Schizosaccharomyces pombe: one gene and its partner. The gene in region 1 interacts genetically with each later gene. Each region holds a gene or a part of one and is shown on either strand. Other genes may lie near its edges.

Region 1 (4,323 bases):
GTGATACTTCCTCATGTAACTTTATAACATCGCTGTAAAATCCTTTTTCTTTCATGTTTTGGGAAGACTTTACCGAATTTATTATTTCGTCTAACGCTTGACAACAATGTCGATATGTGCCATTAACTTTATCAATTAAACAATCAAGAGAAGATGCTTCGGACCTTAAAAACTCAAGCCCCCCTAAATTTTTTATTTCAGTAAAATTTTCCATTACTTTATTTGAAGTTTCAGTTATATACCTATTGTCATTGACGGACTTTATCTCTTCCATAAGAGCAAAAAGCTTTTCTGTACCTTCTTTAGTTAAGCAATCAATACTCTTCACAGCAGCATCCAAAATATTTTTTTCATGTTCTTCAATTAGATCCATAAACTCTTTGTCCAAACATGTCGAAAAATATGGATAAGCAGCCGTTTTATCCGTCAAAACATCTGGTGTTATCGATTGAACCATAGTAACTGTATCCAATAAAGGAAATGAGCCTACTGGTATTTCGGGTTGTAAATGAATAAAATCATTGTCCCTCTCATTTCTTTTTAATTCAAACTGTAAAGAGCTTTCAAGTTTTTCAAGTTTTTCATAAACTTTCACATTAAATCCAAAATCGAACCTGGTTTTCAAAGCTTCCTTGCAATGTAACAGAGAAAGCCTCAAGTATGAAATGTTTTCTCCATATTTGTTTAGGGAGTAACTTGTTCGCGAAATAATCTGATAAGTAATAGTCTGGTAAAAAAGTTTTTGAATGTAAGTCCAATGAACGAATATACTCGGTGCCCCAGTTGCATTTTTAAATAATTTATATGCATCTTCGTATAAGAGGAAGACTTTTGCCAGAATCTTTACAATGATAGATTCACTGGTCGTGTCATTTGAGTTAGCCTTGCTAAAAATACAAGTTTGAGCCTCAGCAAGGCAATAAATCTCCCAAGCTTTCAGTAAGTTTTCATTGAAGTCTAAAGATTTAGTGTATATATAGAAATCATTTATATATCGAAAACAGCCAGCAGAAAGCTGAAAATATTGACATGCCTGTACTAAATTAGGAGGTTTTTCATTACAAAGGGAAATTGCCGTCGTATGATAAGTGCATGCTAATCGATATATCAAGCAAGCATGCTCAAATATTAGATTTTCAAAAGATTCTCTCTCGTTTGAAGAACTAGACAATGTCCACACAAATGGTGCTACGCATTCTGATAAATGCTTTTGTTCTAAAACACACAACAACTGGTGGTAAGTTTGAAAGGAGCTCAACGAATTTATTGAAGGATGCGACAAACATAATTGACTTCGCAAAGCTTTAAAGGTCTTCAAATCATTTTCATATGTGAATGATTTGAAGCAAGACAATCTTTTCAATTCATTAAACAGAGGGTCACAACTCCAATGAAAAGTGTTTTTTGTTGGTATATTTAAAAATTCCATTGCTAATAATGTTTGAATAAGTGTCTGGTTATTTTACAAACCAAGAATCTTGTCACGAAGTGCTAGAGCAATTGCCAAACACGCGTCTTTAAAAAGGAATAACCTTAGTATAATATCGTTCACAAAGCGATTGTTGCAGGTTATCACCCAAAAGAATACTTTATTAGGACAACTGGTATATCAAATGTTGACGATAGCGAACAAAAAAAAATACCCCGTAAAAATGCAGTCAAACTTATTCCTTTAGAATTGTTAGTGATGAAATGTAATTTATCGTGCGATAGAGAAAAATATTGAGGATGGTTATTAGTAGCTAAATGTAATGTACCTCTAGGTACTTAATGCCATCATTAAGCCATTGTTGCTACTGATTGTACTACTCACACCAAAACCCATTATCCAGAGCAGACCCGTTCAGTAACTTAGCTTTTTAATTTCATTGGATTTTCTTTTAAATCTACCTTTTTCATCATTAATTTGATATTTGGCTTCTGTGATGTCCAATCCAGATTGTTTAAGTGTAAGACTGTTGCATGGAGTAACTCGTCCGAATTTGAACCTTTGTCTAACATTCTAACTACTGTAGAAAGCAATTTCATTAGTAAAAACTGCTATTGATAATGACAATGCCGAGCAATATCCTGATGCTTACAAATATTATCAAAGTGCACTAGATTATTTTATGATGGCCCTAAAATGTAAGTTACTCAATAGTTTGAATTAGGGTGAGGATATATTGTCGCAATGATTCATAAGGAAATTTATATTTGGATCTACATTTTCAAGTTATTGTTTGCTAATATTTCAGATGAAAAAAATGAAAAATCTAAAGAAATAATTCGTTCAAAAGTTATCGAATATCTAGATAGAGCGGAGAAGCTCAAGGTTTATTTACAGGAGAAAAACAATCAAATTTCTTCAAAAAGTAGAGTCTCTAATGGAAATGTAGAGGGGAGCAATTCTCCAACCGCTAATGAAGCGTTAGACTCTGATGCAAAAAAGTTAAGAAGTGCATTGACTAGTGCAATTTTAGTAGAAAAACCAAACGTTCGTTGGGATGATATAGCGGGACTAGAAAACGCAAAAGAAGCTTTGAAAGAGACAGTTTTGCTACCTATTAAGCTGCCGCAATTATTTTCACACGGTAGAAAGCCTTGGTCAGGAATATTGCTCTATGGTCCTCCTGGTACTGGTAAATCGTACCTTGCAAAAGCAGTCGCTACTGAAGCTGGTTCTACTTTCTTTTCGATTAGCTCCTCAGATTTAGTTAGTAAATGGATGGGTGAAAGCGAAAGGTTTGTTATTCTACGTTAAAACTATTTACTCTTTAATATTTACATGACTAACATTATAGGCTTGTTCGTCAACTTTTTGAAATGGCGCGTGAACAAAAACCATCTATCATTTTCATTGATGAAATCGATTCACTGTGCGGAAGCAGAAGCGAAGGTGAGAGTGAATCTTCTCGAAGGATTAAGACAGAATTTTTGGTACAAATGAATGGAGTTGGAAAGGATGAAAGTGGAGTTCTGGTTCTGGGTGCCACGAATATTCCTTGGACTCTTGATTCTGCTATTCGCCGACGTTTCGAAAAGCGTATTTACATTCCCCTGCCTAATGCTCATGCCCGCGCTCGGATGTTCGAGCTTAATGTCGGTAAAATACCTTCGGAACTGACCTCACAAGATTTCAAAGAACTTGCTAAAATGACCGATGGCTACTCGGGTTCAGATATTTCTATTGTTGTTCGTGATGCAATAATGGAGCCTGTAAGACGAATTCACACAGCTACCCATTTCAAAGAGGTATATGATAACAAGTCTAATAGGACCCTTGTAACTCCTTGTTCTCCTGGTGATCCTGATGCATTTGAATCTAGTTGGCTAGAGGTGAATCCTGAAGACATTATGGAACCAAAACTTACTGTTCGAGATTTCTACAGTGCAGTTCGTAAAGTCAAGCCTACGCTTAATGCTGGTGATATAGAAAAGCACACACAATTTACAAAGGACTTTGGAGCAGAGGGATAGTAATATGATAAAGGAGCTATTTTCGCTTAGTTTAATGATACCATTATTGTAAAGAAGTATAATATCATGACTACACTCACAAATGTTGAATCACTTTAGTAAATTATGGAACTAGTAGAATATTGAAGGGAATGTATATTGCTTCGACAATATCTATTAGGGCAATCGGAAATTAGTCTGGGTATGTTTACTCATGCCAGAGAAATATTTTCCATAATCTTAACTGATTTTGAATCAGGATTATAAAAGACAGTATTCGACAAAATTGATATAGAAATCGCATGCTATCAAAAAGTGCAAAGTAGCAACGTACCAAAAACCTTTTCATTCTCGGAGGTAATCGGTATACGTCGCAGGCACGTATTATACGAACAACAAAAGAAAAGCATGAAAAAATGTTGAAACAAAACCGCCTAGCGTGACTTTTATAATAAGTCAACAAATAATGCTAATTACGAGGAATATTCCTAAAAGCAAGTTACATTGTGTAATATGCGTGAAGTAGGGAATAATCAATCTGCTGCAGACACAGCCTCCTTATGATCATCCGCAACATCTTTGTTAGAATTTACGATATCGGTTTCACTTGAAGAATTTTCCTCCTCGGCTTTATGAGGGAAAAAGTGTTCTTTCCATCTGAACCCAGCTGCAAGGGATCCGTTGGTGGAATCATCTTCCTTAGAATTTTCATTCGCATCTTTGTCATATCCATCAGATCCATTTAACTTTACTTGATGAAAATTAGGTGGGACAATAACTTTCTTATTGTTATCGCCACTACGCCATCCTGGGCCATGATTTTCGGCATACTCAGGAGGAGCGCAGGGTCCGTCGTTAGCGGCAACTCTATCTGCAATCTTCTTA
Region 2 (4,329 bases), on another chromosome or scaffold:
CCACTTAATGATATTAAAATAGCTAGGATTTCCCAATTGATCTCTTTAACAACATTTTCTATAAACTGTTCTTGAAAAATGCTTAATATCCGGTGAGCGCGCACAACATACGCTTCTTTAATCACTACATCAATCGATTCAGGGTCTGGATGAGTTAATAATTTAATATAAAAAATTGTCGCCGTACCCAGTAAAAACCAACTTTCAGTAGGGCTAATGAACTCTAATAATGGCCTCAAATCTTGTTCATGAACCAACGAGTCCACCTCTACCACCAATTTGTCCAAAAAGTCTATTTGCTATATTTGGTTAAAATTTGAAAATAGTGAATTAAAAACGGTACTTTTTCAAGAGCTTCTTTTTCATTTTTTGATTGTAGAGTATGCAATCGCCTAGCTAGCTCTTTGTAATATTGCATAGATATTGCCAATTTAAACTTCTATTAGATAATTATTAAGTCTAATGTTTTATTATTTGTTTGATTTGTAAACAAAGAATATTAACAGAATTGTAATGTCACTTAGTTATTAGAGAACTTAAATTCTATGAAAAAAGTATTTCATGTTAAGCTATGGTCATACACTAATAATATAAACTTATAGAGTATGTGATATACTGTAAGTTTCTAAGTCGTTGCCAAGAAATCAATTTAATAAATTAACAATTTACTAGTTTTTAAAGGTATAAAAAGCAAAATTTTTAGTAACTAACATCAATTCATTACACAGGTACTTTACCTTATCGCTTTAGCTATATAAGTTCTATTGAGTATATAAGCATTATTGTTTTTTATAGTTATTACCAAGAAAAATGTTTTTATAGTATTCATTTATTCTTTAGTATGTGCATAAATTATTAGTAAACCAAACCATTTCCCGTGAATTTAAGTGATCGTTAAAAAAGGACGTATATAAATTATTGCTCAACCAGCTCAGCTTGAATCTTCTCCGGTTTCGAAGTCTTTTTATCCGAGTCAGTATTAGTAAGGGTAAAAGTATCAGATGGTGTTTTTAGAGAAACATTGCCTAATGTAGACACGATATCTTCAACCTTCTGTTCTTCAGCTACCAAATCCTGCCATTCTTTTTCAACGGCTTCATCCTCTAAATCAATGTTTTGAGGATTGTAAGTTTGAATAGTTGCATCAATCTCTTCCGAACGAGCCAGTGTATCATTTACGTTTTCTAAGACATCTTCCACTTTTTCAGTTCCACCCATTTGAGCTAAAATTGCGTCTAGAGCTTCAGAGCCAGAAGACATTGCAATAAGCAAAATTTTGTTGTCAACCGCATTATCAATATTAGAAATTATAGTATCTAATTGCAGACGCGAAGAAACTTTCCTTTCCAAATCTTTAGACAAAATCTTTTTTCGACGTAAATAAGTTATTGCTATTGTTTTCTCTCCCTTTTTAACTGCTTGGTTTAGCACTTGTGAAAGTTGCTCCAATTCCTCGTTTAAAAATTCTGATCTTTGGGCGATGGATGCCCTAGCCTGTATCAGATCTGCAACAGACCCATCAATAGACTTATCAATTGAAGCTAATTGAGCATCAATTTGGCTGTTGGGTAAAAACTTGATTATCTATTCTCGTTAAAAAAACGGTATCGACAAATAGCTGAGAAAACATATAATCTGAACTTACCTTAGAATCAAATATTAAAACATGTTTTTGATAGCACATCCAATTAAGAAGGCATTCCATCTCATCCTTGTTTAATTTTCCTTCTTCCCAGTATAAGCTTCCAAAAGTATCTTGAAAAAAGTCCCAAGTATAAATTGCACTCGTATAGCTGCTGCACCGTCGCATTGCTTCATTGTGTACAAGGCAAGCAAGTTTCTCAATATTTTTTCGAATTACATACTGCCCACTCGGGGATCTATTTGACAATATGGATGAGGCTTGATTTTGAAACCCAAGTTTCTGAAAACTCCACCGTAGAATTGAAAAAATAGAAAAACCGTCTTCTCTTACTAAATTTCCTTTTTTACAATCGTTCAAAAAGTCTTGCTTACGAAGCCAAACCCCTTGCTGGATCCAGTAAGCCTATATGCTTATTAGCTTCAAAAAAAATGCTTAATTCACGTACCGCAACAGCACCAAGGCTCAAAGGTCTACCTAAAGCAGGACTTGAAAACGCACTTTCAAAAGTCTCATCGAAAACTAAGATTATCCTAGAATTCAACTTCCCAGACCATGCGGATGTTTCAATTGCTTCTCTCCAAGTATTTACGTTTGCCAAAAATCCTTCAGGATTTTTTATAAACAGACTCGTAAAGTCAGAATACAGGCTTTTTAAACGAGTTTTTGTAAAAATTCCTTTATTAACAGAAAATTCCAAAGCATTGACTTTCTCCTTTTTTCCCATTCTGTCGTATATTCCTGAAGCTACCTGCGTGGTTTACTATATACAGTTTTCAAACAGAATTAATGGTATGAGGTGACTTGTCACTTGTACTTTTGTAATGTTACAAATTGCTAAATTTGGAGTTCTAATAAGGTGCTGATGATTTGTTTTCAAAAATTCAGACAATGAACAATTTATTCTAAAACTGATAAGATAGACAAGTTATAATAACATCAGCAATTTCGTATGAAGTTGACTAATGTAAAATCGCATATATCTAATATATGTTATATTGAGTATGATACTAAATTATAATTTTGATATAATAAATTATAATGCTAATGCTACATTTTAAATTGGAAATCCTAAGCTCCTTTATGCCAGCTCCTATTCCTTTTTCAAATCTTTCAAAATTATAGCTTACACCTCTACTCTTTGAATTTCACAGTTATTTTTTATATATACTTTTTATTTTAAAATAATTATTGACATCAGTCTAAATTCTAAAGCAACATTTCAAAAAACGTGAACAAAAAAAAAATGAAGTTTTAATTTCTAAAGTCATTAACTAGCTAATTGAATATAAATATGATACTGTAAGCGGTAATATAATTTTTCAACTTCGCATTAATCGCGCTTGAATTAATAAGCTCATAACCAAAATCGAAAGTTTAGCACCTACATAAGCAGATCTTGTACCAAAGATTGCCCAGATGACAGGATGAGTTGTCTAATGAAAAGTATTTTTCACCCGAAAGTTTTCGGAAAGCGTTGGTTTTAAGTCCAGCATATGTTCAGAAAGCGATTCCCATCCTGATTTTGAATACACACGATTAGCAAGATTCCAGCAAATCTCTGCCATTTTACAATGGCCACAGTCCCGCCAAAAGCCAGCGCTATATGCAAACCAAAAAGCAGCTTTTCTGCGGCGATTTCCATCAGTAACACCAACATGTTCCTTATTACTATACATTCCAGCTATTGTCGTATTTAAGAAAGAAGTTTCAAACGGATTGAGGGAAATAGGGCCTGGTTCCAATATCTTTGCAAGCCAGGATGCTGCAAAGTCGATACTAAACGCAGGCTTCAACGAGAGCAACAAGCTTGTAACTAGCACACTTCTAAATGTATAGTAAAAAGAGTGAAGACGAACAGCATAGATATAAACCATTTCGTCGAACCATTTGTTCAAATACGAAATTTGCGACTTCAAGCTGATATTCCGATTTTGCATTAACAGACATATTATTTGGATTTCCTCGCAAGACGCTAAATAATTCCAGGCTTTGTCTTGAGAAAATGTATTCCGAATCTCATCATAAATTTCATAAGCACGTTTGTAATCACGAAGCATAAAAGAAAAATCCGCCATTTTTCTTTTTATGCTTTCCTGCTTTTCTGAAGAATAAATAAGGGATAGTGGATCATAGTTACCTTGAGAATGGCTTGAATGATTACGAGACCAGTATTTTTTGGAGGCAAATAGAAGCCTGGTAGTTAAATTACCGTATTGAGGGGTCAGATCTTCTTCCCAGGCCCGTACGCATCTTTGCATAAAAGGATATATACTATCATACAACATTGTTTGAACAAACTTTTTCATCCCTTCCACTTCTTCTACAGGCAGTAAAGGATAAAGAGGCAAACACGATTGTTCGGATTCGGCCTGAACTTCTAATGATGATCTCCATTCTGGAATTGGAAATTTTCTTAAATTTTTAGTCACAAATGTTATCGGTTTGGCATCATCACTAGATGAACAAAAGCTTTCGCTTTCCATCGAATCTCTAGGTGCATTTTTTAATGACTGTATAGAAGACGTATCATATCTGTCAGTATCTAAAGGTTTCGCTGATATGTAATTCGACCTTAATCTAATAAAATGAGAGTTTGCGCCAAGACTTCTCCGCATTTGCTGAAAAATTTGCTTCGAATTTGAAAGATCGTTGTTATCTTCATCATGTATAAACAAATAGTAATG

What was found.
Region 2: of vps4 (region 1) and cmp7, changing one suppresses a phenotype caused by changing the other (phenotypic suppression), as found in Schizosaccharomyces pombe (one study listed by BioGRID).

Annotation. Positions count from the first base shown.
Region 1 is NC_003424.3:816,192-820,514, forward strand, and holds vps4 (AAA family ATPase Vps4), read left to right. Parts: upstream 1-1,811; 5' UTR 1,812-1,925; coding exon 1,926-1,949; intron 1,950-2,015; coding exon 2,016-2,127; intron 2,128-2,170; exon of another isoform or gene 2,171-2,237; coding exon 2,238-2,724; exon of another isoform or gene 2,725-2,783; coding exon 2,784-3,459; 3' UTR 3,460-3,548; downstream 3,549-4,323. Other genes in the region: alx1 (BRO1 domain-containing protein), read right to left, coding at 1-1,429; protein phosphatase PP2C catalytic subunit Ptc3, read right to left, coding at 3,972-4,323. UniProt on the Schizosaccharomyces pombe protein: Involved in the transport of biosynthetic membrane proteins from the prevacuolar/endosomal compartment to the vacuole. Involved in multivesicular body (MVB) protein sorting.
Region 2 is NC_003423.3:3,896,136-3,900,464, reverse strand, and holds cmp7 (ESCRT III complex subunit), read right to left. Parts: upstream 2,380-4,329; 5' UTR 2,370-2,379; coding exon 2,091-2,369; exon of another isoform or gene 2,048-2,090; coding exon 1,646-2,047; exon of another isoform or gene 1,585-1,645; coding exon 916-1,584; 3' UTR 775-915; downstream 1-774. Other genes in the region: protein Tti2, read right to left, coding at 1-299, 344-418; trs8501 (TRAPP complex subunit Trs85), read right to left, coding at 3,079-4,329.